Mytilus edulis: one gene and its partners. The protein of the gene in region 2 interacts with the protein of the main gene of each other region in a pairwise test. Links are inferred from orthologs where the notes say so. Each region holds a gene or a part of one and is shown on either strand. Other genes may lie near its edges. The genes, in order: translationally-controlled tumor protein homolog, Golgi phosphoprotein 3 homolog sauron-like and 14-3-3 protein beta/alpha-1-like.

What was found.
Region 1: the proteins of Golgi phosphoprotein 3 homolog sauron-like (region 2) and translationally-controlled tumor protein homolog interact in binary tests that used the Drosophila melanogaster proteins (3 or more experiments, as listed by UniProt). The link is inferred for Mytilus edulis from reciprocal best matches to the Drosophila melanogaster genes sau and Tctp.
Region 3: the proteins of Golgi phosphoprotein 3 homolog sauron-like (region 2) and 14-3-3 protein beta/alpha-1-like interact in binary tests that used the Drosophila melanogaster proteins (3 or more experiments, as listed by UniProt). The link is inferred for Mytilus edulis from reciprocal best matches to the Drosophila melanogaster genes sau and 14-3-3zeta.

What each region holds. Positions count from the first base shown.
Region 1 is NC_092346.1:46,577,285-46,588,439, reverse strand, and holds the start of translationally-controlled tumor protein homolog, read right to left. Parts: upstream 4,653-11,155; 5' UTR 4,527-4,652; coding exon 4,499-4,526; intron 2,402-4,498; coding exon 2,328-2,401; intron 1,913-2,327; coding exon 1,728-1,912; intron 1,079-1,727; coding exon 960-1,078; intron 1-959. UniProt on the Drosophila melanogaster protein: Involved in calcium binding and microtubule stabilization.
Region 2 is NC_092347.1:27,682,366-27,694,220, forward strand, and holds the start of Golgi phosphoprotein 3 homolog sauron-like, read left to right. Parts: upstream 1-6,218; 5' UTR 6,219-6,338; coding exon 6,339-6,527; intron 6,528-9,917; coding exon 9,918-10,164; intron 10,165-11,855. UniProt on the Drosophila melanogaster protein: Phosphatidylinositol-4-phosphate-binding protein that links Golgi membranes to the cytoskeleton and may participate in the tensile force required for vesicle budding from the Golgi.
Region 3 is NC_092355.1:77,871,282-77,882,806, forward strand, and holds the start of 14-3-3 protein beta/alpha-1-like, read left to right. Parts: upstream 1-5,857; 5' UTR 5,858-5,915; intron 5,916-6,058; 5' UTR 6,059-6,201; coding exon 6,202-6,516; intron 6,517-9,914; coding exon 9,915-10,062; intron 10,063-11,525. Other genes in the region: mRNA turnover protein 4 homolog, read right to left, coding at 1,500-1,558, 5,581-5,608. UniProt on the Drosophila melanogaster protein: Required in Raf-dependent cell proliferation and photoreceptor differentiation during eye development. Acts upstream of Raf and downstream of Ras, and is essential for viability.

The DNA of each region.
Region 1 (11,155 bases), on a different chromosome or scaffold from region 2:
CAAACCCCGAAAATGAGCAAGTCTGTTAGGTTTTAGTTATTTCCTATTTGAACTTATAATTTTTTTGTCAGAAATTCTACCATTTGATAACAATTTTGAGAGGATATGATTAGAAAAACAAACCCCAAGCTGATACGACTTGAGAAATTTACTTTCTCGATGTCCAGCTTGGATGAAGCCATTTAAATATTATAAAACGTTTGGGTCATAAAAATGAGAAATGTAAATTCCTGTCAAACGTCGTAAGGTTGACAGTACACTGCTACAGTTGGTTACAAAACCAAACAGAAACTGATAATGACTTTATTGTTAGTCCTACATGTTCTGCAACATTACCTGATGGTGCTAAGAAATCTTGGCACAGGCAGTCTGGTGTAGATCCATCTTCAGTTGTATACATAGATAGTATGAGGATTTAATATATGAAATTACAAGGCCATGGAGAAAAAAAACCTCTTCTTCTATATATCCAGACAATAACACGTCGTTAACAAACAAAGCCTCATTAATGGGTACACTGTAACTTCCATGAGCATGACAAGGACATCATAACAAGAGGAAAAATCAACAGCATGATATAATAAAAACACATAACAAATAAATTACAAACAAACTGCGTGCCGCGATAAAGTTACTGAGAATCGTCGAAAATTACGCGCTTACCACAGCGCTATCCAAAAATCCTGGGGAGAACACTGACCATGGCAGCCATCTTGATTGGTTGATTGGGTCACACCACCCATTTTTCTAACTAAATACCCTAATAATGATAGTGGCTAAGTTCGGAAAATCAGATGACAAAAATCTGAATTTCATTATATAAAATTAAATTCACAATCCTCAAAAATTGATCCTATGAAATAGAAATGAAGAACAAAAGTTCTAGGGTTGGAGGGCAACTAGGACCACACATATACTTTTATTTGGCCTTTAATATATATTACTACATGTAAATATACCTTGGAAAAATTGCCAATTTTTGAAGTTTTCTAAAACTTTTTTTACACCTGTGGCTGCTCGCTTTTTGAATTCATCTGCAGCTTCTTTGCCTTTTTCTTCTTCAATTTTAGCTAATAATCTGAAATATCAAAAATATATTTTTTGAAGGATTCAATCATTAAAAACTTAAGTTTAGAAATCTTGATGATCAAATGCAGCATTTGATTGTATTATAACTGTATAGCCATTTAATTTTCTGTCTCTAAAATGCATGCACAATTTATCTTTACATATACAAATGGTACAAACATGTGATCAATATATATAATTTTACAATATAAAAGACAAATTAGAAAGTGTTCAATAATCATGTGTGCATTATATATCTTTCAACTATTTGAATGATCAATTTCAGCTACTTTCTTTATACTTTCTACAGAAATCTGTGAATTGATCAGACATTTGTAGGCCTTATGGATTCTGAATGTTGGTTTCCCCAAATACAAAAAAAAAGAAGTTCTACAGCAAGGACCTGGAAAGTTTATCAATGATACTCCATATCAACACAGAAGTGCAGACTACTGGGCTGGTGAAAAGTGCACTTATAGAATCCTGAATTTTAATTCATATTCAAGGACATTAAATAGTGTAAATAGAAAATCTTTCGATACTGAAATGATGCAATGAAAAAAACTGCCTAGAAATTAAAATGTTTTAGGAATCATAAATTATAAACAGAAGTGGTCGTATGGAGATTTGTTGAACCTGCATGACAAAATTTGACATACACTTTAATATATTCTTTGATAAATGTCTGGAAACCTTTCTTGTCAAAACTGGTTTCTTGAAGTTTGTGACTGTAAATTACATTAATTTTGGTTTCTACTAAGTCTTCTTGGCCTTCTGCTGCCTCCTCTGCTGAAGCGTTGGCTCCAATTGCAGATTCATCAATTTTATTGCTGATAGAAATATTCTACAAAAGATAAAAGTATATTGTAGTTTGTCAAATACATCGTAACATGTTAGATTATATTTTTAATTTCTACCATACATTTTAAGCAAACAGATTAATAAATATTATCTCTTCAAACATGAATGAAAGCCTGAAGATTGTGAATTCTATTCATAGAAAACAAGATAACCTGTTTAGTTCTTTTGCTGGTATTTCCTCCCTCATTTCGATTGTTTTATGCTGGACATCTCACACATAATGACGTTGTTGAAAACTCTTCTGCAGACATTGTAATTCACTTATATTGGTTGCTTACACATAAAAAGCCTTGGTACAAGAATAACATCACACCTCAAAGCCTTGGTACTAGAATAACAAAGCAATTGAGCAGGGTGATATAGATGAAGAGAAGGATGATAATGTAAATAATAATTACCTTTCCCTCAATTTCATAGAAGAAGTCTTCTTTCACAATCATTGGTTCAAAAGCATCACTGAACAATTCATCTCCTGAAAAAAAGTAATACAATAATATATTTTCTCAAGTAATTTTGAAGAAACAAATTTTAAATCATATTTTCACACTAAACATCTTTAACCAGTGTTCTCCCCAGGAATTTTCTAAGGCGCAAAATTCAAGGGCGTGTAACTCTTTTTTATAGTGAACTTTTGTGATCTGAATCAATCAATCAGTCATAAATCATGACATGCAATATGAGTTATAATCTTTTGTGTTGTGTGTTTAATAATGCAAAGTATTAATGAATTACAAGAATATATGAAATAAATTGATTTAAACACAAAAGTTATTTATATTCAGTCCATTAAAGATGTCAAAATAAAAATATTCATCTCTGTACTCCCTACTCCTAGGGATATTGTTTCAAGATAATGCTATTTTGTTGGACAGTCTGTTCCTCAACTTTGTCTTTATCCTCTTTAGGGGTTCAAAACCCCCTCTCACAATAACTTTTGCTGATACCCCCTTTAACATTTCTAAGCCATGAAAACTCAGTCAGCCACTTGTCACTGAAACCAAGAACATGGTGCTTGCTTTTATCACTTGCTAAAACTTTAGCTTGGTTGGGATTAGGGGAAGCAATAATATCCGCGTATACTGACAGCTGAGTGTAGACGGATCGGAGGTGTATTTCCCTGTTCATTAGAAGTCATTGGTCTGAAAAAATACTTCTACTTTCATCATCTGCCTTTTGCTTAGAATTCACCCCTTTGTTATTTGCAGAGAGCATGTTCATTCAGAATTAATAAAATCGAATATGGTTAAGATATTTGGTATACAACTTTTTAAAACAAAAATATTTTAATGAACAGCTGACCATTTTCTGTAGTTTGACATTTATTTACGCTTCCGTGTGCATTATTGTTAAAACCTATCTTTGGCAAGTATATATCAACGAAACTTCGTTAAAGTTAAGACCATTCAAAGTATTTACTGGTGACATTATACAGAATTAAGCTGCGACGATTCCGTACCCGTGTTGATTGTCACATATTTCCCGCACGGATTCACGATTGATGTTCAAAGATCATTTTATTTCTAAAAAAAATATGACAGTTTGAGACCAATTTACCTTGCAAGCAACAATTTTCACTTTCAATTTTAAAGCTGAGATTAGCGATTTCTGCATTTTGACTTTCATTTTCAAAGATTATCACGTGACCATGAGAAAACAGTGCAAATGACCATATTGTAACACCTCGTTCATTTACGATGCAAGTTATCTAAATGTCCGAGAGCTTCCGATTGTTATCGTGGTCGGAACTAAATGCTTAATACCGATCTCCTGTAAAGGAGGTGAAAAATCGTGGTTGGCTTCTAAATGTTAAACATTGATCTCCTACAAAGGAGGTGAAAAAATATAAATATTTGCATATTTGAGTCTCGAGGCCACGAACTCTCTCGTAACTTGACGTCCATTTGAAAGTGAAAGTCAAAATGCAGAAATCGATGGGTCTCTGTGAAAACTGTTTAAATATGGAAAAATAAAGGTGGGCAGGTAGGTGAAACTTACATAAATGAAGAGATAAATGAAAAATGAACAGATTGATGCCCAATTTATATAATTTCAAGGCCCTCAATCAGAAATAGAAGCGACGAAGCAGCGCATCTATTTTGGGTGGGCAAATATCCACTTTTTGATATGGGACGAGCTCTGACGTCCCACGGCCCCAGCTTGTCTGGCAAAACAGCCGTTGGACGTCAGAGTAATCTCGGACTTATAATCTGTATCTGTATTTCCCACTTATGAATATGGATGGGTACGTCACAGATTCCTTTCGCCGTTCGGTTATAATAATTTGTTCAAAGTAGAATTGTAACAGTCTAGTTGACCATTGTTTACAGTCGATCTCTACAGTGATTTCTGTGTTGTTATCTACATTAGCTTTACAACAAATCATTGAATGAAAGTCACCAGTTTTTTCAGCCAGATCCAAACTGGGATAGTAAAGGGAGTGTTTGAAATAGCTTTACAAACCAGCTGACTAATACACTCATATAAAAGATTCTGTTTTCTACTTTGATCGTAAAATTCAGCTAATCAAAATGGCAAAAAATATCAAAAAGTGTATAATTTATTAATTTACCTGATATTTTACACCTGTAAATAATCATTTTGGCTGATGTTGGTAGATTATTTTCTGTTATAAACAGAAGTGTTGCGACACCGGCTGTCAGAACTGGTAAAAGGACCACTTCCGGTTTTGTTTGTCATCAAAACGTTTTAAACAAAGAAGCTTTCTAAAGTGACAGTTCTTCCAATGTGGACTAACTCGTCCCCGAGACAAGTCGTACCGCTTCAAATTGGACCGACTATTAAGTCATAATAGACCGTCTAGGAAGACAACTCGGACCGTCAAATTCATCCAGGAGTAGACATTTTCTGAAGACCGATGATTGGTTTGATAGAGCAGCACATGTTTGCAATGTGAATGTCCTTAATCAGATATTTCCAGCTGGAAAATAACGTGAGGTTCAATTTGTCTCATCTCATGCAGACTTTGTGCCTTTAATATACAAATAGAGATGACTGGTCAAAACTATGCCAACAATTATATATCGTCCCAAATATTTCTTAACTGTTAATTTTCATGGTTAAATACAGGATTTTAGGTCATATATACATGTCATATATAAGAAATCAGAAGCCAATTATTTCTTTCCGCTTTTATGAAGTCGGTGGGGAATAGTAATTAATTTAAATACCGTTTTAACTTTAAAAATGTTGTTTTGCCAAACGAAATAGCATCTATTTAACAAATCTAAAACTTCCACAAGGTACCGTGAAAATTATGCACAAAAATGACATATATCAATAAGACAGTTTCTACCATAAAATGAAGCACATAGAAATATCTAGTGAGATTTGAAATAACACATATGGCGGTGTTTTGCTTTATTACAGCAATAAAGTTGAAAACTAGAAATGGGTTTCCAGAGGGGAAAAAATGGACGCCTTAAAGATGAAAATTCGCTGCCTTATTATCCAACCAAAACTTTGTTGGCAATTACATGTATAGTCCTTTTCAAAAAAAGCTGGAAAGAAATGGGTACATCATAAATTTTTCACTCCCCCCCCCCGACCCCCCCCCCCACCCCATTTTTCTTCTTTTAACATGTTTAATTTAGTATTGGCGAAAGACGAGATTGATGTCGGATGGGGTCTTCAACTGTAATCTAAAGAGGATTTCAAATGTATATTTTTAACTGTAAGTTCAGAACCAATTAGTCGTTCAAGTGGTTTTCGAGATCCTTTAATAGAATATTTTGTAAAATATTCTATGCTAGTACCAGTCGGCAAAGCATGAACATGTTTATTCATAAAAACATTTCATTCTGAAAAGAAATTGATCCTTATAAAAGAAAAATCTCGTTTTTTTTGCCCATGCATTTATTTCCCATAGAAACGTAGAATATATTAGAAATCAGATAACATGCTTAACCCCGCCAATGCTGATTCAATGTTTATATGTGCCTGTTCCGAGTAATCTAATATAACCATATCGAGATAACCTCAGAAGACCGCCGACGGTCATATAACCAAATATAAACATACATTTAAACATTAACTGATATAAAGCGTCCTTGTGCAATTAGATTTTTCTAGATGTGTTTGATATCACATTGTATCTTAAAAGGTATGTTTATCATCGTTTTACCATTATGCAAATTTTTTTGTTGATCGAATATAAGTCACCCAAATGGTTCATCCTGATTTCACTTTACATTTGACATTATTTTCCTTTTAATAGCTCAATACATGTGTAACCTATATCCAGCTAAGGCCAGGGGTTGATACACATGTTCGACGGTCCGTCTGTCCCACTTCAGGTTAAAGTTTTTGGTGAAGTTGAAGTCCAATCAACTTGAAACTTATTACACATGTACCCTATGATATGATCTTTCTAATCTTAATGCCAAATTAGAGCATAACTTCACGGTCCACTGAACACAGAAAATGATAGTGCGAGTGGGGCATCCGTGTACTATGGACATTTGTTGGGGTTTTTTTTTTTTTTTTTTTATCTTATTTTGACAAAATTGACCAAATCGGCTACTAAACGCGAATTGTTATTTCACTATATCACTTTCATTAATAGTTGATAAAAAAAAATCATAATCAAAATGCAATACTGCGTTTTATCTCATAGCTAATGCCCCTTTAATATTAAAATGGCTCGTGAGTAATCATAAAGTTTACGATAAACAGGACGATTTTTTTCATTCCTATTGTTTATTTTCCTTTTCTTAATGTTGATCTTCAGTTGGCTTCAAGATTACTGAATTTACATTATCAATTTTTGTCGATGTATGCGTTTTTTTAAGTAACCAAAACAACAGGTGTAATATCCACCTTTTTGTATACTAAAAGTCCGGAAATGCCTGCATACAAAGTCAGACATATGGCAGTTGTTTTCCATTTGATCAATGTGTTTGAGCTTTTGATTTTACCATTTAGTAAGATCATTTTCATTGGAGTTTGGTATTTTTGTTATTTTACTTTTGCAGTGACATCAGAGGCGGATTTAGGGGGAGGGCAGGGTGCCCGGCCCCCCTTTTTGAGAAAAAAATTGGTTGCTTATATAAGGAATCACTGAAGCGTGACTGGAGCGGGTCCCCTCTTAGGTCAGTCAGTGGGTCCCCACTTATGAAAATTTCTGGATCCGCCACTGGACATCGCAGCTTTCAACGAACCTTATATTTTCAATACTGAAAATTTATATATAACAAAATTTTATCACAAATGTAGTCCGCTATTATAATGTGGAAGTGTGATTTTACCTTCAGGAATTTGAAATTAATAAAAGCAATTTTATAAACGATTAACAAGTTTAAGAAATATCCATCAAATATTTGTCTTTGGTGTTATAGACTTTAATGATTAAATGTGTATACTGCTATTGTTGTACAATCATCGTACGTGATATTATGTAGACTGTATGTTGTTCTATATATTTTTGTTTTTGTTGTTGGCGTCATTGGGTTGCTGTCTTATTTAAGTATACTTCACATGTCATTTCATTCGTGTACGCTTTGTTTGTTTCTATAATTAGTCAATGAGTGACATATTGAAGTTAAGAAGTATTATGTAGATGTAGATGTAGATGTGACATAGTCGCTATTTTAAGACGGACGACAGACAAATGAAATTCAAATTAGGTCAAATACTTTTCCTTGAATCAAGAGGGGGGCAAGGGGGTCCCAATAACAGCAAAACAGCAAATTGATTTGGCTTATAACAGATAACAAAGAATTAAAATGGACAAAAACAGATAACAGTAAATGAAATATTAAAATAAGTCGGGTCCTTGACAAATCCAGTATTTCTTATTACGGGTATAATCCTTTGTAATGAATTCCATTTTCTATGAACATGCCTTTTCGATTTTTTTTTTATTTCCGATTTAATGTTATTCAGTTAAGGGGTTTATTCATTAAAAAAGATGGTATTTTCCAGTTTTCGGACAATAACTCAAAAATGTTCTCTGCAGTTCTCATGAAACTTTGATGTATTGTTTATATACATGATATATATTGACTGATTTTTATAAATATCTGATATGACATTGAGAAGTTATCGAATATTTCCAAAAGGTGACGGGCGTATAATGCACTCATGGCGTAGCTGTTTATTTGTTATGGAATACTTTTTTCAGCATTTATTTTTGTACAAATATCGAAACTCACACATGTTTGTAATTTAAATAATGTGTAATAAAATTGAGATTGGAAATGAGGAATATGTCAAAGAGACAAAAATTATATCTAGTAAAAATTCAAGGGCAGTTATGGTATCAAAGTAGGTCCAATTGACATAGTTCTTGTGTTTGTTGCAATTAAAAAATGACCTAAAAGAGTTTGAATATATATATTCGCATTCTGACTTTTTTTAAATGCCCATTTAATGAGGTGTGTGAATTTTTCTGAATAAGACTATGAGGCAAAGTTGTATATAGGGTAGAAAAATCAAAAGCACCAATTACTAGTATAAGCATGCAATTTATTAAGTAGGACCAATTTTGACACTCCAAAAGTAATTTATTCCACTATTTTCAAAGGCCTTATTTGAACAAATTGTTATCAGGTTTTGATTGTATACCAAGTCTACTAGTAAGTAGAATACATATATATAGTTTAATAGGTGAACTATGGCTTGAAGTTGAAATAAATCTTTAATTGTAATGAGTTACGTGTAGCTTCGGAACCCTGTACATGGTGGGAACTTTCATTGTACAATGTATTTGGTTCTGCTTTGAAAAGAGCTGATTCTATGTACCATATAATATAAAAGCTTTTACGAAGGATAATCATAAGATATAATGGAATTGTCCTGGACCTCACTTTTGTGATGGGTATATGTTAATGGAATCCTTCTCCGAATACGGGACCAACATATTAGTTAGTGGTAGACTCCAATGTTCAATGATCTTCAATTTCTACCGAATTTTGGCTGTCCCAAAAATGTTAACATCCCAATTTTCAATAACAGCTAACAGCAAATACATTATCACAATAACAGATAACAAAATAACTAAAAAACCCAATAACAGCTAACAAAGAATGAGACAATAACAGCTAACAAAGAATGAGACAATAACAGCTAACAGCAAATATATTTTCAGAATAACAGATAACAAAGAATTAAAATGCCCCATAACAGCATAACAGCTAAACCCCTCGCCCCCCCTCAATCAAGTGAGAAAACGACCATAAGACAAACAATGGTATACAAAACCAAATATATAAAACTAGACACTGAACAACATTAACTCCAACAGAAATTGGCGGTGATCTCATGTCCTCCGAAGGTGTGAGTAGAAATCCTATTCCACATGTGGCACCCATCGTGTTGCCTATGTTAGTACAAACCTGGTAATAAGTCTAATTCAGTAAAATGACGATATTGTGGAACCTTACGGTAGCTGTAATATCTCCATTTTCATCTATGATACAGAAATTTAATAACTGTCAACTAAATCGTGATGGCGTACGTAAAATTTACGAAGGGATGATTTCAACTTCACCACTTTGGATCTTTTCGTTTGCCATCTTCATTGTGAGCAGCAACCATCTAATGATCATGATAAAGGAAACGCAAGCCTTAGAATATAGATATAAACTGGGAGATTCTAATTACATATACTCCATATGCAGGCGCTGCCGGAATGTTGGTATACATAATATAAATGGAAAGTTCAAAATTGGGAAGTTTTGTTCACATGACTGTATGCTACCAAGTTAAACCAAATGAAATGCAATTAAGTCCAATTGATTCAGGAGTAACTACATGATTACATTGTAATTGTGCAAATGAACATTTCCTAATAGGCTTCTTTAGAAGACCTCCTCAAATTAATTCGTTTTCAACTTTAAAACCAAAGTCTGCAAACTTTAACTTAATAACAATTAATGACAAAGGGCTACATGATCCTTTACTATAGTTTTGAAAACATTTGATTTACGATTTCCGAGAGATGTTACGAACAAATTCATAAGGGCCTAAGGCATAGAAAGAAGAAAGAAAACATATAATAAGAAACGGATCAAATTAAAACAATAAGTCTACCAACTTAATGATCTTTGTCCTATTTATTAATTCAAAAGAGTTAAAACTCAAGTTTCGATGTAGGTATACTCTTCTTAACCAATCAGATTGCTTGCGAGTGGATCTAGAATACCATACGAGTCTTGAAATGACGTTAAAGTGGAAACTGATGGCACATATTTACGACGGCGGGGAGACATCTTATACATTACAGGCCATGATACTCCGAAAAGATCTTTTCTGAATGAAACCCGTCTTCCTGTGCCAAACAATCCACTCCTGAACGAAAACAAACTCCTTAAAGACCGCTTGTATCTACCATGCTTAGACGAAGGTGGACGTTTGTCGTTTGACTGTATATGATAAATATCTTCCGATTGTTGAGTTGCAGCATTTACCATAGTTATCACATCCGCAGAAACAATTTTATGTGTAGTTTCTCCAGATTCTAGTCTTTCTGTAGCTGTCAAATTCTGTGAGTTGGGCGTGTTGCCTTTTTCATCAGTCATTGTTATTTTGATCCCTTTGCTTTTTGAATTTCCAACTAATTTTAAACTCTTAAGTTGCTCAGAAATAAGATATCGCATCATCCTTAACTTGATACCATTTGAAAACATTTCATCATATACGAAAGACTTGTATAATTCATGAAAATTGGAAGCCTGAATTCCAATACCATCAATGTTTGCTAAGGCACTTCTGGTAATCAACTTGCCATTGATCGTATTCTTTGACTTTGCATTTGCCCTGCAATTAAAAATTTTACGTACATATATATATATATGGAGTTTATGTAAAAAAAAAAGGCAACGCATAATTAAAACATAGAAGGAAATATCTAAAAAAAATAATATTATAAGATATATTTATTTTATTACACGATGATGCTCAGATCCAACTTTGAGAGGTAAAATAACATAACAAGACCGACATTCTTAATTGTTTGGTACTTTGTAGAGAAGTGGCAACTACTATTATAAATAATTTCCAAGTATTTGGTTTCAGCCGGAGAGAGATTTAACAGCTCGGCTATATTCTTGAGTACAACTCGGAATTTATGATTGATGTAAAACAACTTTAATCAGGAATGAATAAGATAAGATAAGATAAGATATTTTTATTTCAATTAAAGGGCCCATGAAGAGCAAAGCAATCTATCACAATGATTTTTATAATTGTTACAATTATGTTGACACAA
Region 2 (11,855 bases):
GTCTCTGTATATTTGTTTTTTTTGTTTATTTTTGTCTATTTGTGTATTTGTATATTTTGTCATTGTCAGCTGGTATCATGATTCCGGTATTGGAATTTACACCAATAACATTATTTGATTTGATTTACTCAGCCGATTCAATTTGTACATGAAATGAATATCACTTTTTCCATGATATAATGTAAATTGTTTCCCGCATTGTAATGGGAGGACCATGCAGCATCGGACCATTTAACTTCAAAGGGTGAGGTCATGTGTCCTTCCAAAAAAAGTATTCTGATCCTCAATTTGATGAAAAAATATTTCTGGTCAAGCAGACGACAAAAGTATATTATTCTGAATTTATATTTCCCCCGTACCTTCATCTTCGCTATTATAGCCAAGGGTAAAGATACTCTCCCCTCCTCTCTGAAGAGAATGGGACTGGAGTATAACTCTTGGGTGGCGAATATGCATACCTTATAGTGTTTTAAAAAATTAGAAAAAAAGAGAAAAAAATCGTTGAAAAACTTAATAAAATTGATTGCGCTCTGCACGATTTTTTTTTACTCAGACAAAAAACCATAACCCTTTGAAGTCAAATGGTTGCTCCCTTACGCAATGGACAACAACTGTATACATTAGTTAAACGGATATACGCTAATTGAATCTAAGTTTACTGGGGGTAAATTAATCATGCGGCCATCATATTCCCCCTTTAAAACTGGAAAATAGTTTTTCTGATGTTTCATATAAAGAAATGCTTGGAACGAATAGAGTTTGATATTTTGGGGTACTACCAGAAAAATATCACACAACGTGACCGATGATTGCATTTAAGAAAGAAAACTTCCCTGAAGTAAATAAGACAATACCTCAACTTCCTTTTCGTGTTTAAAAGTATCAGTAGCCATGCAAATAAAAAAGAATGGTGCCTAACATCTCTCAAGCTCAATGAATGATTATGACTCAGAAATATTCTTATTTTTTTTTCTCTATATTTTTAAACCGGATGTGGTGTACTATGGCTTGTAACATGTCGTATCCTTGACCAGGTCATCCCTTAAAACAGTATTGCCGTTCTGTGTCCTTGAGATAAGTTGCATGTGTTGAAACACGGATGGGATCAATTTGTTTGAGGGAAGGATTTGAAGGATCTTTTTGTCAAAATAGTTTTGACAGTTTAGTATATTTCAAAAAGGCATACGACACAGTTACAGGGGAAGAAATCATACGGGCTTGACTACAGGTCAGGTATATAGCCCGTTAATCGTCTACGTGCATAAAAAAAAATATGCACCTACTATCCAACACCAACAGTAGGGACATACGGTTGGTTTTTTTTTCAAATGCACGTAGACGATTAACGGGCTATATATTTGACCTGTAGTCAAGTTCATATTTATGCTAGACAGCAGTATATTAAGACTACATATTTTTAATACAGATTGCTTTAATTGTACTTGCCCAACAGTTTTTAATCTTTTATTCTTTTGATCAATTGAGTGGACTCGTGTCTATTTGATTTGCACTCTAGTAAATTACAACTGTCTAGTTGTCTAGTGTAAGTTTAACTTAATTGTGAAGAAAACGGAGAAATGTATATAATAGGTAAAGACATGTGATTGTTGTTAAAGACCGTTTATGCATAGCAATATAATATTTTCCCACAGAAAGTAACCAAAAGTTAGCGTGCAATAAATCTTTAAAATTCATGACGTCATCAACGACACAATCTCAGTTTAAACCAATTTTTACTTTCAAATATATATTGCCATACAATAAAACTCAATTATAAAAGGGTTATTGCATGACTATTGGGGAATATTGTCCCTCGTAGAACATATATTGCAAGCTCCAGCAATATAAAATTCTACTCGGGACAATATTCCCCAATATTCATGCAATAACCCTATATTATCAGATATAAATAAGTTATAGACATATTTCGCGAGAATTGCACATATCTACATGTATATATGATCTATCTATACCACATCTGTTCGGATATTGTATTTTCTGCCAGATAACTATGACTTTGAACTTCTGAAACCAGCAAATATCATGAATGGCAATTTAAAATAAATGTTTTAACCACAAAAAGTAGCTTAATTTTTAATTTAAAATATTGAGTATAACCTTTTTACTCAAGAAATTGCAGCAGAGCATGTATTTTGTAAAATTACTAGTACACAAATGTGTGTGCATATGTAGAACTAGTAGTGTATGACTTTTTGGCGACTACATGGTCATTTAAACTCCAGAAAGCAGCACTAGTTTACCAGTTTTTGAAAACCTATAGGTCCATGAAATGTAAAACATATGCTCAATATTGTGTTTTCTTTATAAAAAAATACTTGATTTGCAATCAACACCCAATTTCCAAGATGACAAAGACAAATAAGCATAAGGCAATCGACTCGTTGTTGGTACATGGAACATATAAATGGTTCAATAAACTTGTGCATAATTAAAACAAATGCTGGTCGAAAGTTCAAACGTGAGAACACGCAAAGAAACAAAATACGCAAATAAGAGGCAACAGTAAAATTGAGAATGGAAACGGAGAATGTGTCACAAAGCAAAACGCACAGTAAACCTCGGTTTTTTAGAAGTCGAGTTCGATGTTAGGATATGTAACAGAAGAAACTAGCCAAAGGTATAATAATCAACATTGATTAACAAACGACTACTAGCAGTTTCTGAAATGCCAGCTATATAGACCTCAATTTAACTGATGGAAAGATTATGTCTGAATCATATGAAAATAAAGCACAATCCCTCCCATTAGGTGCTTAGTATCATACCATTATAAGCTATACGAGAAGAACATATATACAACCCGTATTATATTGAAAACTAGTTTTGGAATGAACTGCGTGACAGTGCTTATATTCGATGCAAACAATGTTTTTATTGATGTTTAATTCCCATAAAATCATAACATAAGAAGATACAAATCAAAGGAAACAAACTAAGGGAATTACACGAACTCCAAAATGAGTGAGACAGTATGCATCAGAAAGGTATATTCCTATGTCTTCTGGGTACACACTGAAATTAGAAAGTCTGCTTTATATATTGAATTTCAAGATAAACCACGGCCACACTCTGGTACATTAATCATCAACCAAATACATAGGCTGCACCATTACAAATGATCTATAGATTGGAGTGAACACAAACAAACAGCATGACATGAAAAGGTAGCTGAAGCCTCGGATTCTTACATCAAAACCTCCAAATCAGCTCAAAACCCACCAAAGAGCATGTCTATCCGATAAACCGCAAATACACCAAGACAGTATTGGAAACCGGCAATGCAAACTTAAAGACGAGCTGCACGATAGAAGTTTGAAGTTTATTAGGATATATGATATGAAAAACTATCTGAGTGTAATATGGTTTATTGGGTGACAGCGTATCACCAATATATCTCAGTCAAAAAAAAAAATAGAAAGAACTTTGCATGATGCTTTTTATAGTTTGTCTTTTCAAAAACGTTCATCAGAACACGAAAAACTATTTCAAACTAAAAATTATTACTTAGGTTTACTTAGGTTCTTTTACTTATACAGGGACTAAATTTCCTCTTCATCAGTCTCTTTAACTAAATCTTCTCCACTTCCGGTGACTGTTGCTCTATAGTGGCTTCGTACATCATTGTTTGGTTCATCCAGTATTTGTTTAGTCTATTCTTAAATGTATCTGTGGTTGGTGATGACACTATAATATCGGGTAGTGCATTCCATGTTCTCACCCGGCACTCGTAGAGCAAAGGCATTTCTCATTAATTCTGTTCTGGCTCTCTGTGGAAATATTTTCAGACTGTTGCCCCTTATCCCTGTGCTTGTAGTCATATCCTTCCATGATTTAACAATTTGTGCCGCCTCTCTTTCATAGTTTCCGTTCAGTAGTTTGTGTATTTCAATCCTGTCACCTCGGACCCTTCTATTTTCGAGATGGTAGTTTTAATTTTTGCAGTCTTTCTGAGTATGTTCAGGTAGTTTCATGGTATACCGCCATCTTGGATTGCACTATCGCAGTACACAATCAGTCTAAATATTTGCCCAAATCTGCAAATTTGTATACAAATGTGCAATTTTATTGTTTAAGACTGTTCATTAATATGAAAAAAACTTGCTGGTTTATTGCATTATTTAAATTATTTAAACAAGTATCAAATAGTTGTGTTGGTTTTTAGAATCATTTTTTTTTAACTAAGCTATTTAAGGGGAGATAACACTTTTAGTAAAAAAAAATATACTGGACTGATCGGGAAATTTTTAATTTAGAAAACAAGTTAGCTGATACCATTTTTTTCTTTCTTTTTTTCCTTTAAAAAACATTATAAAACCTATCTTCTCGAAATTTATTTCAAATTCTATATCATAGATTTCTTTTTAGGCACAAAATGTTTTTTTCATGATCATTCTAAGCAAATTTAGGCAATTTTCAAAGACTCATAGCATGAAAAATAAAACGGTGACCCATAATTTTTATTATATTTTTAAAAAGAGCACAGTAAAATCTTTATTTTGGCAAAGTATAATAAAATTCTATCTCAGGAAACATATACCGATGATCTACCTTAAATTCTTTAATCCTGGTAGTTGTTTAGTTGCCCGACGCTGCACATTCTCAATCATGTCATTATATTCTATTTTATATGGATGCCATACTGAGCTTGCATACTCTAAATGTGTTCTTACGGGTGTGTTTAACACCACCAAAAACTGGGGGTGACCTCAGGTGCTTTAGAAGGGTAAGCAAATCATGCTCCACATGTGGCACCCGTGTTGTTGCTCATGTTATCACAAATCCGGTAAATAATCTAATTCGGTAAGTCACATTCATGAAAGGGAAGGGGATTGTAGTTACGACGTAAGGAACATATCCGATATACCATCTGTGAAACGGTTATTCCATAACGGTCAACCAACTCGTGATGACGTCCGTAAAATTTACGAAGCGGGATGATTTCAACTTCACCATTTTGAACTCTTGGTTTAATAGCTTCCTTGTGAGCAGCAACCCCGGTCTATCAAGAAAATCATGATAGGAAAAAGGTATCTGTATCTAGATATTTGAAAGTCCTTATCAGTCCTTCTTATGCTGGTAAAATTAATTTATATTTCAAAATTTGGAAAAAAACCAAAAGAGGCGGATTTTTGTGATTGTTTTTGTTTGGTTATATAGAGAACCACAGGCTGAAGCGCGAAGGGAGTTGGCCCCCTCTTAGGCAGTCAGTGGGCCCCTACTTATGAAAATTTCTGGATCCACCACTGATCTGTATCTAAATGTTGGAAAGTCTCAGTCCATCTTATATGTTGGTAATATGGGGACGAAGTCCCCAATAACAGTAGAAAATTCAATAAAAAAAAAAATTCGGGAAAATTTCCCGAATTTTTCATTGTACTAATGAACTCAAAATCGTTCAATTTTTTTTATGTCATGTTTTGAAATCCCGGACCTGCGCAGAAATGTACAATATACTTCCCTTTTCCGGTCTCGTTTGTATGAAACTTTGAGTAAAATATATATTTATCAGTCTAGTTTAAAATAGGAAGGAACGCGCAATACTTATTTCATTTTTGATAATTCCTTGATATGAAAAAACGTTACCTAATGATAGCGTTTCTTGTTTACATTGCATATGACGTCATAATTTAAATAACGTCACAACTAAAATCCCTAACAACAGAACCAAAATCGGAAACGTTACTGTATTTCCGTGTCTTTTTTTTTTTTTACAAATAATTGAGTTACAAAATAATAATTCATACAGACTTCGTCCCCATTTACAGGTAATGCCTGCCTCATATTATTAATTTAAATTCAAGTTAAAATTTGGCAAAAACAAAGGTCTCTGTATCTAAATATTGGAAATTCCTTCTCAGTCCTTCTTATGTTGGTAATAATAATTCATATTTCAATATTTGAAAACAGAAATTGAATGACAATACTAGTAATTAAAGACATGATAATATACTTGACGTCTGTTTAATAATTTACAAAACTCGCCACATTAAATAATTACCGGAATATAACCGACAATTGATCTAACTTTTAGTATTTTCATAAAAACGTAAAACAGATTTGGATTGTATTAAATATTTTTGTTTTTTTAATTTTCATTAATATATTTTTAAATTAAAATGATAATTTGAACGATAAAAAAATAAATTGGATAACAATTTTTAAATTCAGAATGTTTCTAAAATTGTTTAGAAAATCTCGGATGTTTTGATGTTTACGTCAACGAAGACGGCCATTTTGATGGCCAGACTTTGCAAGTGACTGAGGTTTCTTAGGCTAAACAAACTTATTGGCCTTTTATATGCAGTAAAATAGATACAATGGCTTCTCAGAGAGGTGGAGGCTTAGTCCAACGACGCGGTAATAATGTAAGGACAGATGAACCAAATTCTAGTGAGCAGTCGGAAGATCTTTCTGGATATCCTGATGAAGAAGAGGAACACGACTCAAAAGAAACTCGTTTAACTTTAATGGAAGAAATCTTACTGTTGGGATTGAAAGACAGAGAGGTTATACATTAGAATGAATGTGTTTTAAGAATTGCTATTTCCACATTTGTCGACAGACATAACTTGTTCCCCTATACAGTTATGCCAACTTTTCATGAAGCAAATACGTGAGATTTGGCCAAAATTGAAAAGATTAAAGAGAAAAAACAATAGTTTAAAGAAAAACGCCGCCTTAAAAGCATGAAGTCTCATGCTAAATGCGTGAGACTTGGCACTACTGCCTATATGATGGTCACAGGCACTAGGTTCTATCCATGGGAACACCCACTATCAACGTATATTTACGTTTATAGATGCGTGAGACTTGGCAGCCCTGCCTATATGAGGGTCACAGGCACTTGTTTCTATCAATGTATATTTACGTTTATAGAAGTGGGTCTTCTCATGGATAGAAAAAACTGCCTGTGATGAGGGTTGTAAATGGAGGCAACCTCATGACGAATCACAGTTAAAATTCATTAATGATGTAAATGTCAATATTTTGTGCATAACTATAAGATGTACACTTTCTTTTAGACGATAAAAAAAATTCCAAAAATTACTGTAATGATATTAATGTTTTTGAGACCTCTGCGAATCAAGTAAAATTTTAACCAATTTGACACCAACAGTTGGGTTGCAGAAACTAACCGTTTGACGCATAAACAAAAGGCATGGCATCACTATCCTTCTCCATATGTAGAGCATAAAACCCTAGGTAAAACAAAATATTACACAAGATACTGATTGAAGTTGCATGTCGAAAAAATACACCTTATCGTTATAAGACATCTCAAAAGTTCCTGTAAAATTTCCTTAGGCTTATAATAATAATAATCTTTATTTCAAGAGGGTATGCTCAATTAGTACAAACACTATTCTCCCTTGAGGCCCTCACACTCCACTCACAATGCAATTCACACAATTTCTTCATAACAAAGATAAACATAAGCAAACATAATCAAAATTGATACATAGTCATTTAAATAATTCCTGGATTTTCAAGTAAAAACTTAAAGCAGTTTTTTTTAAAAGTATGTTTGACATGTGTCTTAGTGCTTCTGGTAGTTTATTCCATAAAGTTGGGCCCGAATATGAAAAAGCTCTAGCTTCTAAATGTGTTTGTTCTTGCCTTTGGTATATTAAGTAATTGGGTAGTATTTGATCTAAGTAGCATTCCATTATTATTTGTAACATAGGAGATTTTGTTAGACAAATATTCTGGGACAGATCCATATAAACATCTATGAACATACATGTATAAGGCCTTGTGGTAAGTTAAACGATCAGTAAATCGAAGCCATGATAACTTTTTAAACATTGTATTAGATGGGGTATCATAAGGAAGTTCAAGAATAATTCTAGCTGCTCGTTTTTCAAGTTTATCTAATCTATTTGTATTTTGGTCTGACACTGGTGTTTTCCCAAATTGTACAACAGTAATCCAAAATAGGGAGAATATAACCATTAAAGTATAACTTTCGTGTTTCTAGGGGGAGGGATTTCTTTATCCTAGACAAAAGATTTAGCCTAGTACTGATTTTTGTGCACAAAGTGTCAAGGCTTGTATGCATACTGTACGAAATTAGATATCCTTGAACATGCAAGTTTACCTCAATTCACGAAAATTTGTACTTGCAAAAATAAATGAACGTATAGTATACAATGGTATAATGGTTCTTCTTTAACAAATTTTGACTTGAATGGAGTTGTCTCAATGCGTCATTGGCACTCATACCACATCTTCTAAATTTTATTTCAGTCATGAAGCTGATTCAGCTGTGTTTTCCCAGGTCAACATGACTGTGCCGTCCCGCAGCCCCTTTTAAAATAATTTCATTGATCATGCAGAGCCTTAATTGAAAAAGAAAGATGGCCGCCAAAATGAAAATCAGTATGACACAAAAATATGCAAATATTGATTGACTCCACAGGGCTCACACTACTTCAGAATTATAGGGAGAAGTGACTTCTCTTTTTGAAACTGATAGGGAGAAGTTGTGAGATTTGAAAGAGAAGTGCTCATTCGCGCGGTGCGTTACAATGTTTGGATTTTACAATAGTATAAAGGGCCATATGCAAATAATGTTCTTTTTATATTGTTCGATTCATATCTGAGTAAAAAAAAATACAATTAAAGTAACATTTGAAATTAAAAGTTGTTTAAGTTTTACTAAGGTTCTTGTGACAAACTTATTCCAACTAAATATCTAGCACTAAAAAAAAAAATTATTTTAAAAAATGTTAAGAAATTATAATATATCATTATTACAATTTAATTAAAAATTATCTTGTGTATGAAATTCAGTGTTTCTCATAAAAAAATATAAAAGTTATTAAGCTGGGCCATAATATATTGAAATTAGTATAATAGTCTCAGAGTTAAGCAACTTTAATCAATAGTTTGAAACAATCCATAAAATATATAGGGAATTATATACACCAATCAATTAGATGTAACCAAAAGTCTCTTAATGTGTGTGGAATGCGTAATTTTTCCCTTTGGGATCAATATTCTTCTGTCAGCTGTTCCGTCCGTGCGTCCGTAGTAATTATTGTAAAAGTACGGATTTCGGTCATAGCTGGTCCGGTTCAGATCCGTAGTTTAGAAATCGGTCAATGGCGGATGAATGCAAGAAAATTTACAAAAATAAACAATGTTTGACAAGTTATTTGGAAAGGAACATGACGTTTTTAATGCAATAAATGGATTAAACATTTACTGGAGGCAACTTTTATCACGTTTAAATGAAGTAACAAACTTATTTTGCCGCCGAAATTTAGGTTGATGTACGTTTTCGAGTAACAAGCACCGGAACTTGCGAAAATGCATGAAGTGATAAAAAGTTGTATTTTTATCAAATAACCTACTACACACTGCGAAGACAATGCTTCAATCTCTTTTCTAAAGATAATGAATCGTTTATGTCTGAATTTCTTTAATTATCAATAAAAAATTGATGTTTCATCAACTTGGTAAAAATTGAAAATGTCCGATGACGGAAGCGACTGAAAGCAAGTATCGTCAAGAACAGGGCGACTTGATTTCGCTTTTGGGGGTCGGGGAAAGCGAAGTGAGGGTCGGGAAGGCCAAGTCGCCTGGTAGCGTGAGCCCTGACTCCATCCTTTAACTGTTATTTGACTTATTATGGCTTATCAGATCGTGCAATTCTATACATACTAAAGCTAATTAAAGAAAAATGGTTTTTTTATAATTTTTTTCAGATTACAGTTGAATCAGGATTAGAATTGAGGGAAAAGATTGAAATACAATGTACAAATAGGAAAAATCTTTATGCGTGGCTTACCCTACAATAATGCTGAATTAGATAAAACAAAACTCTTCAAACTTGACAGCTGAATGATTATTTTGAGTTACATTTATTGTACATGCAAAAATTTCTGTTACAGGGTTACACATCATTCTGGAACGACTGTATATCATCGGGTCTGAGAGGCTGTATATTAATAGAACTTGGGTTACGAGGAAGGGTAGAACTTGAGAAAGCAGGAATGCGTAGAAGAAGTTTACTTAATCGTAAAATCCTTCTAAAGAATCCTGCTCCTACAGGTGATGTCTTACTGGATGAAGCATTAAAACACATTAAAGAGACAGAACCCGCTGAAACAGTTCAAAGTTGGATAGAATATTTAAGTGGTATGTGAAGTACTCCATACTGTTGTACTAAACTTTTTGATGATAAAATATGTAAAATTTAATTGTAGGCAGAGAAGTTTGCAGATTTCCTGATGGACCAGACTAAAAACTAGATCTTTAAATAGGGGTGTCTTAGTGTCCAGGTATCGAAATACATTTAGTTAGTCTACTGTATTGCTAGCCTCTCAATTCTGAGGTTGTGAGTTTGAATCCTGCATGTGGAAGGCACTCTAAATGGACTAGGATTGTCAATTTTACTTCCAAAGAGTTGTCTTCCTTTTAACTAGAAAAAATATACATGATACAGTGTATATACATGTCAGTAAGTGTTGTCTATTTTCAATCAGTATTAAATTTGTGCAGCAATCATACATGTAGGTGCCAACCAAAGGGGAAGACCCCCCACAGCAAAAAAATAAATTCTGAAGCACATTATTCATAGACTACTTACAGTTATTTGTAATAACAGCATATAAAATGGTACATATATTATAGTTGTATGCATCCTTGCCCTTAGCATGCTTAGGGGTTTCCATGGCAAACAGCTCATACCATTTCCGGTTTAGACTTTTTTTACTAACATAAAACAATATAGACAACAACACCCATCAATTACCGCATGGTAACAGTTTATTCTGGTCGACATGTTTCGCCAACAAGGATGGTGTCTTCAGGACAAAATTACACATGAAATCAAACAGTGAAGTACAAATTTTGCGGTTGAGTGGTTTGCCGAACAATAGAGGTTGTTATGACGACGTTATAGATATAAATAGAAAGTAAAAACTTCACCCTATCACCATCACAATTGGAAGCAGTTCCTCCCTCGGAGCGAAGCCAGTTTATTTGGTACGGGATGGCCAGTGGGGTGTTGTCCTATTTGGAAATGAACTGACTTTTTATGATCTACTTTCATCATGTCTACAATATTACCACTAGAAACCTCCATGAGAACAACTACACAGTCAGACCTGTAAGAATAGCAGCTAACCACATCGTTAATAACTTTATTGACTAACTTTCACTTTTAACTATACTATATTCTTATTTTACTTTCACTTTTTATATGTATCTATAACATCGTCATAACAACCTCTATTGTTTGGCGAACCACACAACTGCAAAATTTGTACTTCACTGTTTGATTTCATGTGTAATATTGTCCTGAAGACGCCACCCTTGTTGGCGAAACATGTCGACCAGAATAAACTCTTACCATGCAGTAATTGATGGGTGTTGTTGTCTTTATTGTTTTATTTTACTCTTATAGTGAAAGACAACTGTGAATACCTTTTGGTATCCACCCACTATTACCCAACCGCACGATAACCACTTCAGGTGTTGGTTCACCTTGTTCAAATTTATTTACTAAATAAAGATTGGTGTACTGTTATTGGAAAAGGATAATTAAATCTTTCTATGCATACATGTACTTAACATTTAAAATAAAGTGTTCAGTGTAACTAAGTAAAATCTAAGGGAACATACAAACAATGTGTGATCAGTTTAAAGAAAATAGAACTGAAGACTTGATGTTTCTAATCAACAGATTTAGAAAAAAAATAGACCTCTACAACCACATGCATATGTTTGACTTCATACCCATAATAATCAAAGTAATCTGGTATTTATGCTGAGCATTTAACAAGACCCATCATATCATGGTCTGACATTAATAGAACAAGCTAAAT
Region 3 (11,525 bases), on a different chromosome or scaffold from region 2:
AATATTTTACCTACCTACCTACCCTGTTTCAAAACATAGGGTCGGAAAAGGGCAAACAAACAATATTTTAATTTAGGCCTGATAAAGATTTTTCCTAGGTAAGACGTTTCAACTGAGGCACTACACAGGCATCAAAAGGCGTCATTATGGAGTAAAGGGGGTGGCGTCAAAAAATGTCATTATGGAGTAAAGGGTTAAAGAAATTTTTAAACAGTTTTCATCAATTTTCATTTTATTGAAACATGATGTATGCCTTTTTGTGCTTCTTCGTTACATTTGTTGTTTTTATAGTGATTAAGATGATAACATAATGTTGACTGCTGTACCCCTATTTTTGACATTTTTACTCTTTGAGTATGTTTGTTTTGTTCACACATCGTTGACAATGTAATGGAATTGGATGTGACTGTCATATAAGTGAGAGGTTTAGCTAGCTATAAAACCAGGTTCAATCCACCATTTTCTACATTAAAAAATGCCTGTACCAAGTCAGAAATATGACAGTTGTTATCCATTCGTTTGATGTGTTTGGACTTTTGATTTTGCCTTTTGATTTTGGACTTCCCTTTTTGAATTTTCCTTGGAGTTCAGTGTTTTTGTGTTTTTACTTTTTATTTAAATTTAGAAACACAGCTTTATCACACTAGTAGAAAAAAGTATAAAAATAAGGAGATGTGATATGATTGACAATGAGACAACTATCTACCAAAGTTCAAATAAAGTGGATGAACGCAATTATAGGCAACTGTATGCATGGTCTTCAACAAAGAGAAAAACCCATACCATGTGATCAAAATTGGTTGATAGTTGTCTCATTGTCAATCATACCTCATCTCCTTACTTTTATGTTATGTTGTTGGTTTTAGCAAATACATCATCTATCCGCCTCTGTTTCAGTTCTAAACCTTTCTTCTTTGTCTTATCTTCTTATTATATTACTGTAAATTCAGAAATTATAGCGTGCATTTATTATTACGATTTGTAATTTAAAACTTATATGCGATTTTAATTTTTATGATTTTGAGAAAAATCCTGTTTTATGCGAGTTTAAATTATTGCGTTTACAACTCTGTCACATTTTTCGCAATAATAAAATCCTCGCATTAATTTCTGAATTTACAGTATATTGTTGGTTTTTAGTACTTACATCATCTATCAGCCTCTGTTTCAGTTCTAAACCTTTCCTCTTTGTCTTATCTTTATATTATATAATATTGTTGGTTTTTAGTACTTACATCATCTATCAGCCTCTGTTTCAGTTCTAAACCTTTCCTCTTTGTCTTATCTTTATATTATATAATATTGTTGGTTTTTAGTATTTACATCATCTATCAGCCTCTGTTTCAGTTCTAAACCTTTCCTCTTTGTCTTATCTTTATATTATATAATATTGTTGGTTTTTAGTACTTACATCATCTATCAGCCTCTGTTTCAGTTCTAAACCTTTCCTCTTTGTCTTATCTTTATATTATATAATATTGTTGGTTTTTAGTACTTACATCATCTATCAGCCTCTGTTTCAGTTCTAAACCTTTCCTCTTTGTCTGTGTTAATGAAACTAAAAAGATACATATACATTTTGTTAGTCATAAAACATTTGAAGCATCATTTAGGCCACGGTTTTTTTATTTGTTGGTTTACGGATCCGCCGACCCGATTTTGCCGATTTTCAGAATAAAAATAAAATTGACTTTTCATGCTTTTTTATTCCCGCCGACCCTTATAAATGCATTATCCCTGAAAAATAATTAAAATTTTCCTTTATTATGAAATGAAATGCATTAATCATTAACAAAGTTGATAACACTTTCTGTTGTGAAAAATAAAACTTCCAATTTACGTTTCTGAAAATAGACAAATCAATTATAACTGACCTTGAAATGTCTTTTGCGCAAATAATTTTGCGTAACGAAACCTGTGTTTAAAACCAATTACAAATTAGTTCGTTTCCCTTATTTGTCATCAGTCCGTAAGATGCATCATCTCAGAGAAATAGACTTGTCCAAATGTGCCATTCCAGTTAATTTCTGACAGGTTGGGATGGATGGGGAGATTTTTTTTCATACCTATCAGAAAAAAACATCATGTAAAACTACCTATCAGATCTATAAATTAAGACCTATCAGATTTAGAGTTCCTGTTCATATTTGGTGGATGGCTTTCATGGGAAAAATTGACCTATCAGAATTTTTTACTGCAAGGATTGTACCCATCAGAATTTTAAATACAATACCAGATAATGCATGATACGAAACTTTTTTACATTCCAAAGCACCCCTAAGATCTGAAATAGGTTTTTTTTGTAACCCCTAAGATGTAATTATTTTTAATTATTTTCTGCTGCAAGACCCTCAGAAATTTTTGCGTATATGTGTACGTGTCAGATGAAAAAACCCAAAATTTCACCCCTAAGATGTATAAATTTTACACCCCTCAGAAAGGACCATCCATCCTCCTTTAGCAGATATTAACTGGAATGGCCCAATGTGGACAGGTGGAATACATCAATTAAAGTACTGAATATTAACAAATCATTTGAAATTTTCTTGTTTCATAGATAACAAAAAATATCAATCATTGGGATAAAAACCGGATTGCATGACAACTGATTAACCCGATATTGTCGTTTTTCCAGTGGACGAGTCTATTACGTTTTTCGACACGTGTGTTGAAACTTATTTTTGTACGACGTTTTTATATTTTTTTTCTTTATCAGTTTTTGTGCTTGAAGATCATTATTCACCAAGTTTTCTGAGAGCTACGCGAATCTGTTTTTCTTGTTTGTGAAATGACGATTTAATTTCGTGTTTGTCCGTGCAACCCCCCTTTTTTTACAGGAAATTATTAAACGATGTCATGCGATGTTCATGATCACTGATCAATAATATTTCATCGAACTTAATGTTAAGAAATGATGACAAAACAGCATATAAGATAAACATTTTGTTAGTAAGGTGAAATATATATTTATTTTGCATATTTTTTCTGTTTTGAAAGATATTTTTTTTCTTTTTTTTTCCGACCGACCGACCCGACTTTTTTATGCGAAAAATCCGTAAACCAACAAATTAAAAAACCGTGGCCTTATATGTAAAATAAAAAAATAACATTTAATTATAAATTTGGTTATCAACAGGCTCAAAACTAAATTTGTGTAACCAAATATGCATAGAAGTTTATTTTTGGACTAATTTAATTATGGTTAGATTTCAAATGGAGGAAAGAAAACCAACACCACCAATAACTTTTTTTTCAACTTGTCATGACAAGTACATACCAAAATTTACTTGTCCAAATGAAATTGTTACTTGTCCAAAAAATTTCTATTTAAAATAACCTTTTTTCATTTTTAGTTTATTAAAGGAGCAAAACGAATTTAAACAATATAACAGAATTTGACGGTTTTTTTAAAAAAATACTTTTAAAAATATGAGTCAAGTACAACTGAATCTAGTCATGTCACAGGACTTAGGTTCTAGTTCTCATCAATGCTAGTCTCATCACACTCTGCACATGAGTACCATCTGATAGGCCTGTATTCTCATTGGATTTGTATTTTGTATTTTTTTTTAAGTTGAAAAAAGTTTTTTTAAATGCAATCAATAAAAAGAAGAAGATAAGCCATTATAAGGTCTGATTGCCAATAAGAGAACTCTCTTCAAGAGACCAAATGACACAGAAATTAACAACTATATGTCACCATATTGCAAGTATTGTTTTTTTCTACTTATGAGTTTAGTGTCTTTACCCTGCAACTAATTTTGTATATTGTTCGTGCTTTGAAAGACACAAAAACTCAAAGTTTTATGCCTTAAAGCACTGCCTTTAAAAAAATCAATTAAATATAGTTATCTTAATTATTTTCCATTTCTTTCTTTTTTGAGACTCCATAAATTGGCTATTATGAGACCTCATTTTTACATTCAGAATGGTCTCAGATAGCAGGAAATAGAATGTAGTTCTGAAAAGTTTTCTTGTGGGGGGGGGGCATGCCCCCAAACCCTGCTAGAAGGTTCAGGTCGCTGACGCGACCCTCATCGGTGACTTAGGGCTAGGCTGTTTTTATCAGGACTACGCTGAACAAATTTACTCTAGACCTGTGGTCTTAACAACATTTTAAACTAAATTCTATCCCTGCTGAGTTGGGTAAGGCATATACTAATATGACTGAGTTATTCAGATATTAACAGGTCAGGAATAACCACCAATTAGTGGATTATACCTCAATTGACGTGTAATCCACCAATTGACATATATGGGTATAGACCAATTGATGTATAATGGGAGTTTTTTGTAAGAAAATGCTAGTGTGAGATAGGAGCATGATTTTGCAACTTGCAACCTATTTTATGACCTTTATTGAGTCCTCTGAAAGTTTCAGTTTTGCCAAAGCCTGCTGCATCTCTTGAGAATGCATGTGTACAACAGTTCTTTTGTTGAAACATTTGTACTATTGACCATGATTGACTTTTGATAATGAAAGTGAAGTATTTAAAACAAAGAGTTCCATTCACCTGTGGAGTTGTACTCATGATCACATGACTGCAGACAGTATTGATGTCCATTGACAGGTGATTAGTGGTAAATTTGCCAATCAAGAATTGACAAGATATATAACAATATAAGAAACTGCAAATACAATTATTGATTAAATTCATAGGCGGATCCAGGGGGGCCCTGGGGGGCCCAGGACCCCCCTTTCGTGGGAAAAATTTGGTTGATTATATAGGGAATCATTGAAGCATGACTGGAGCAGGCCACCTCTTAGGAAAAGTTCTGGATCCGCCACTGAAATGCAATATGTAATGTCACTATACTAAACTAGGAATGTTTTACAAGTTTTCATACCATAATATGTTTTTAAGAAGACAATGCTCCATTTTGGTGGAATAATTTGCTTTGAAAAACAAAGAATTATACACCAATTGGTCTATACCATTATATGTCAATTGGTGGATTATACATCAATTGAGGTATAATCCACCAATTGGTGGTTATTCTTGACCTGATTAATGAAAAAAATATCAAAATTGAAAGTGAAACAAGGTTGAACAATTTAGTTACACAATGTAACTACTTCAATAAGAAAACTGACAAACATCAATGAAGATTGGAGTTCAGGGTCACGTTCAATATCGTAGGGGCTACGTAAATTGATGACTATTGAACAAGTAGTTAGTATAGCTGCTACATAGTAATAGGCTAGCTACTAGTTCAATAGTCATAAATCTACGTAGCACTACATAGCCCCTACAATATTGAACGATATTGAACGCAACCCTTTGCACCAGCAAGAGCAGGGTTCGAACTCACAACCTCAGCGTTGACTAGCTAGAATCGGACTTCTTATCCCACTCGGCCCCCGAGGCCCCTTGTTAGTCACGAAAGTACCGTAACCCCCATAAAAACACTCATACAATGTACCTAGTAGTAGTAAAAAATAACTATAGTATAAAATTATAATCCCAAATATTTTCAAACTGTTAAAATTTCAGGGATTTTACAAAATGACTGTAACATTTATTTGTATTTTGTAGTGTGTATAAGCAGTTCTTTGAATAAACAACAATATAATAATACTTTTCTTGTCCCTTTTTGACTTTGGCATCTTGATAATAAAATGTACACAAACACACGTGTTTTTTTCAACCGGAAATAAGGAAATATTCCTGTTTTCAGGAATTGAATTAAAAAAATATTTTTATTAAAATTATTACACTTTTTATCAATTCCAATTCGAAAATATCATTGAAAATAATTTATGGTAAAGTTTTATTTATTAACAACGTTGACCTTCGACACCCGGCTAGGAGTTGACATAGCAACAGTGACGTTAGGGCTACCTTTTCGAAAGAATGTAATCCCCGAAATCTATCGAAAGAAATGGAATTCAAGAGAAGATAACCCACTTCCAGGTTTTAGGAATTTTGATGCAAAATAGTCCCACTGCATAATATATTCGATTATTCAAACGATAACTATTTTTATTCTTTTTAGTGAATTAATCTTCCCTGACATATTTTTATAGAATATAAACAATTAAACTTTATCATTTTAGTCCATGAAAATAAAGGAGTAGCGGAAGAATCAGTGATGTCACCTGTACTTTGATTGGTTAGTGTATTCCGCCATATTGGGAAGGTGGAGATAGAGTAAAGAGTAGTAGACTTCAAATTTCGATTATTTACAAATATTTTAACCATGTCGGAAGTCGAAGATAAAAAGGAACGCGAGACACTAGTTCAAAAAGCTAAGTTAGCTGAACAAGCTGAAAGGTATGATGATATGGCCGAGGCCATGAAAAAAGTGGTCGAAAAGTTTAGGAAGTTGAACAACGAGGAGAGGAATCTACTTTCCGTTGCCTACAAAAATGTTGTTGGTGCCCGGCGGTCATCATGGAGAGTAATTTCAAGTATAGAATCTAAGACTGATGGCACAGAAAAGAAACAGCAATTGGCTAAAGATTACAAAAACAAAGTAACAACCGAACTCCAAGAAATTTGCAAAGACGTTCTGGTGAGTGAAAGTTGACGGATGTTTCTTGTTGTGTCGTTTTGCGTGCAGTTTTCATTGCATGTTTATTTTTATTGTGTTTTCTTTAAGTTATAGATGTTTATATATCAAAGAAAATATATTCTACACCCGATCGCAATACACAGATTCAGATAGCATCGTTTTTGCATGTGCAGGAAGACGAGAATTTGGATCATCATAAAATTGGCATGTGTTTGTATATTCATCCGCGTCATTGATAAAAATGTAAAAATTTTGCATGAGTCATGAGCTCATCATCTCCTCTGCAGTATTATTGCAGATCTAGACACTCCGTGGACATCTTGAATGCAGTATGCAATGATTTATCTTATTGTTCACAGAATCAACAGCTTGGCAGCACTGATTATATAATGGAGCACTCTGCATAAATTATGCAAAAATGACAAACCTGTGTGATTTTCCACTATGAAGTACTAGTATCCATATTAAAATTGCCAGCAGTTTTTAAATGCATTATTCTTGGCTTGCATTTATATGAAGTCTGTAGGTGTATGCAACTTAAGACGTTATACATGTAGTTAAATGCATAAAAAATAAAAGAAGGTTCTTGTACCAAAGGATTTTAAAAAGGCTTAATGCACTATATATATATTTCTGAGTGTGCACTTCGTACAAATACATGAGATAATAGCTTGAATCGTTCAAAATTTGGGATAGGTCTCATTTTTCCTAAGCTGTATTTTTAAATTGCTAGTATTAATGTTTCCCTATGTATACAAACTGAAAGTACAAGAGAAAAAACAATATATAACCAGGTCTATTATTTAAATACAACCTTGATGTGCATGATGGAAGTATTTTTACAACAATCAATTAGTCAATATATCTACAGACTCACTCCATTCTGTAACAGTAACAAGACAGTTATAAATGTTCTGCTCTTTGATGATGGATGTTGTCTCTGCTACACATTCCTTGTTTTTCCATTCTCAATTGTATTTGTATAGAAGATGAAAAGGTTGTGTTTATTCCTATTGTTCATTTAATTTTAGACAGCATATTGCCATATAATATGTACATGTACATTGTGAAAAGGATCTGAATGGAAAGAATAAGGAAGCCGAGACAAGGGGTGTTTTTCAATTTATAACTTGATTATAATAAAACTTACTTCCCCTAAGGTCATGGTCTACTGATCATGAGTTTGAAATAATAAGCAATTTTTTAATGTTAACTTTTCTGTTTGAGTCAATTTCGTAGGAACTAGATCAAAAGTAGATATTTTCTAAAAGGTTGCATTACTATCAGTATCAGAACAAAAAATTTCCCGACTAACTCATCTCTGGTCATGATCTATGGACTTTATATTGTCAGGTCTTGACTTGTCTTGTACAAATGCACATGGTATGGAATGCAAGTTAATAGACCTTCGCTCTCTCAACTGTTTCTTCAGGCTACACCAAAAACTTTTTTCAACTACTAGTCCAAGACTAATATCCTAAACATTTTTATTATAGAGCCAAACAGTCCAAAGGACATTTTACTTGTCTTAGCCATCGGACTAGTGGCTAATCGTGCAGACTGCTGTTTGGTATATTTTTACCTGCATTGCCTAATCAAAGCCAACAACTTGATACAAATTAAAAAAAAAGGCCCTTCAACTGCACTTAAAATTAACCTTAAACCTTGCAAGTGTATAATTTGTTTTCAAATTCTTTTTGGCTTCTAAAAAGGACTGTATTATGATTTTAAATTTGGAATTTTAGAAGCCAAAAAGGAAAATGCATGAATTTTGGTATTCAGTTTGGCAGCTTTGTTAAGTAGAGTATGCACTTTTCACATCTGGTTGGGGGATTTGCTGCTGCAGCAGTTTGCATCAAAATCTTTTTCCAGTTCCCACTACCAAACTGAATACCAAAATTCCAACATTTTCCTTTAAAGACTTAATAAATTTTTGCAAACACATTTTATTTGTACTTACTGGTCTCAATAAAATTTTACTAGTCTAGGCATCAGACTACTGGTTATATGTAACTTATGGTAGAAGACATTTGAGCACTGGCTTTGCCAGGAAAGTGGAAATTTCTTTAAAAAAAACTTATGCCTAAAAGGGAGAGTGATTTTCATTTTTTAAAAAGCTTTGTTTCAGTGAAGTTGACTTAATGTCAGTGTACATTTGTTACTGTAGATGCCAACAGTTTGCAGAATATTTTATTAAAGATTTAATTTTTGTTGTCACCAAAACAGTGAAACAAATATGAAATGTTTTGTTATCTATGCATTCAAATAGTCATATTTGTGTTATATTAAAGCTTGGTCTCCATAGAACTTACATTTTGTTTTACAAAATATTATGAGAAGAAATAATGGGTTTATAATTTTTGTGGACCCACCACAGCCAAGTGTGCAGTGTTGCCCTTGTCCATCTGTAGTTGGGTCTGTCCATTCCAAAAATTAGTTTCTGTTCTATTTCTATTATGTGTGGTTCCAGTTACATCCTATTAAAAAGTAACTCAGTAGGTCGGCATTTTTTTTAAATTTCTTTTGTAATATTTCTTTTTGGATTGTCAAAATCTGGAAAAAATCTGGTGTTCCCCTGATTTGATTCTGGTATTATACAAGCCCAAACCAGAAGTTCACCATTTTACATGTTTGTTTGGAAAATAAACAGTCTGTTACATGTATGTTTGTAGTTCATTTGAATGCCTTCTGATATGAATTGTTGCATGTCAGTCTGCACGGTTAGCCACTAGTCCAATGCCCCAGACTAGTAAAATTTCCTTCGGACTAGCAAGTTTTTGCAAAACTTTGTTTGGCCAAATAAGAAAAATGTCAGAATATTGGTATTCGGACTAGTAGTTATAAAGTTTTTGGTGCAGACTGGCATGTTAACCTGATAACAGATACTAATGATGGAAATTCAGTTGATTGAAATCTATGAATTTAATTAATCAAATTCGCAATCTTCAAAAATGATCATTTGAAAAATTATTTTTAGAAATGAAAAAAAAGTTCTAGGGTCGGGGGGGGGGTTTCAACTAGGGTTGGTCGGGTACCTGGAACCAAGCATGAAATTTTATTTGGCCTAACCCAACCAAATATTATGTCACTTATAAACAACACTTATTTCAACAAAACACAGTTCAAGTGTGAATCAGGGTGGCATCACATTTACTGTTCTAGAACATGTAGAGTTATGCCCCTGTACAATTTCATTATTGTTAAATGTACATAATGTACTTTAACTTATAGTATACATGAACAATTATCTACCATCGCCTTAGGTTAACATCCCAATTGTTAACACCTGCAGGCTTGTCCTCCGAACGACATCCTACTTTGGGAAATTTTCTACTTATGCAACACACTGTTGTCAACATTTAAGTAGATATTCACTTTTAAATCTTCATTTTTTACAGCATCTGCTTGATGAACATTTATTAAAAGAAGCTACTGAAGATACAGATAGTGGAAATGAAAGCAAAGTGTTCTATTTAAAAATGAAGGGAGATTACTACCGATATCTGGCAGAGGTTACAGATGAGGATGGGGCTGAGGGTAAACAAGGTAAATACATTGTGCTCAAATGATCTATTGATCTCCTCGTAAAGGGAGATTACTACCGATATCTGGCAGAGGTTACAGACGAGGATGGGGCTGAGGGTAAACAAGGTAAATACATTGTACTCAAATGATCTATTGATCTCCTCATAAAGGGAGATTACTAGCGATATCTGGCAGAGGTTGCAGATGAGGATGGGGCTGAGGGTAAACAAGGTAAATAATGATGTTGAAATCTACAAAGTCTCATCATTCGAGGCTAAGTGGTCTAAGTAGTTCTTAAACTGAAATCATAAGCCAGTCAACACTGAGGTTTGTGAGTTCTAGCCCACTCCTATGGGTTCACTCAACTCCAATCTTCATTGACTAGATTTGTGAGTTTTCCTATTGAAGGTCATTGTTTTCTCTGGGCACTCCGGCTTTCTCAAATGAATAGTGGCCCTAAAACACCAATAAACCAGTCAGTCTCCCTAAAACACAAATAAACCAGTCAGTCTCATCATCTCCTCGACCCCATTTCTTAATACATGTACAATGCATTTGATATCAATCTTTACTTGTCAGTACTGGAAAGCTTTTCTCTTCCATCTAAAAAATAAAAAATAGTTAACAATAACATGACCAATATTACATTTAGATCTAATCCTTTGTTTGATCAAAAGATAAAAAAACAAAAACCAACACTCTAATGCTATATTAAACAAAACCATGTCTTCAGGTCACCATCTTGTTGACATGCTTTAGAATGTGTTTACCTAGCTAATCTTAAAAGGATGCATATTGAACCTAAAAATAAGAGAACACCTCTTGAAATAGGCTTAATTGTTTCAATTATTTATTTCCACACTGTAGAGGAGGGGCCATTTACATATATGTAGTTTGAACCTTGTCCATCTGTAAGTTCCAAAGTTGGTTTCTGTTTGAATTCTCTAACTTCAATTTGCCTCAATCAAAGGTTATGAAACTTATACAAAATGCTTATTACCAGAAAAGAAGTCACTTAACAGTTTTAGAGATATGCCTCTATACAAATGGAAAAATTGCTGAATTTTTCATTTCCGCTCACTAACTTAAGTTTGCCTCAACCAAATGTTATGAAACTTGTGCATATTACTTATATCAACAAAACTCAGATCAAGTACAAATTTGAGAAGCAACACTTTTACCTTTCTTCAGGTTATGTCCCTCTATAAATTTATATGATATGCAAGAGGGGGCATCATCTGTGTCCAATGGACGCATTCCCTATTTATTTTTAGATGTAACTGGAACCACACATTCAATTTCATTTGGCCAAACATGGTGCTTTCGTTTGTTGAAAACTTGGTCAAACTGAAATAAAGTTACATATTTTACTGAAATTTATACAGAATGCTTATTACCAAAAAAACACCTTTAACCATACTAGAGTTATGTCCCTTTACAATTTATCGTATCCATTCTCTAACTTTAGTTTGCCTCAACCAAAA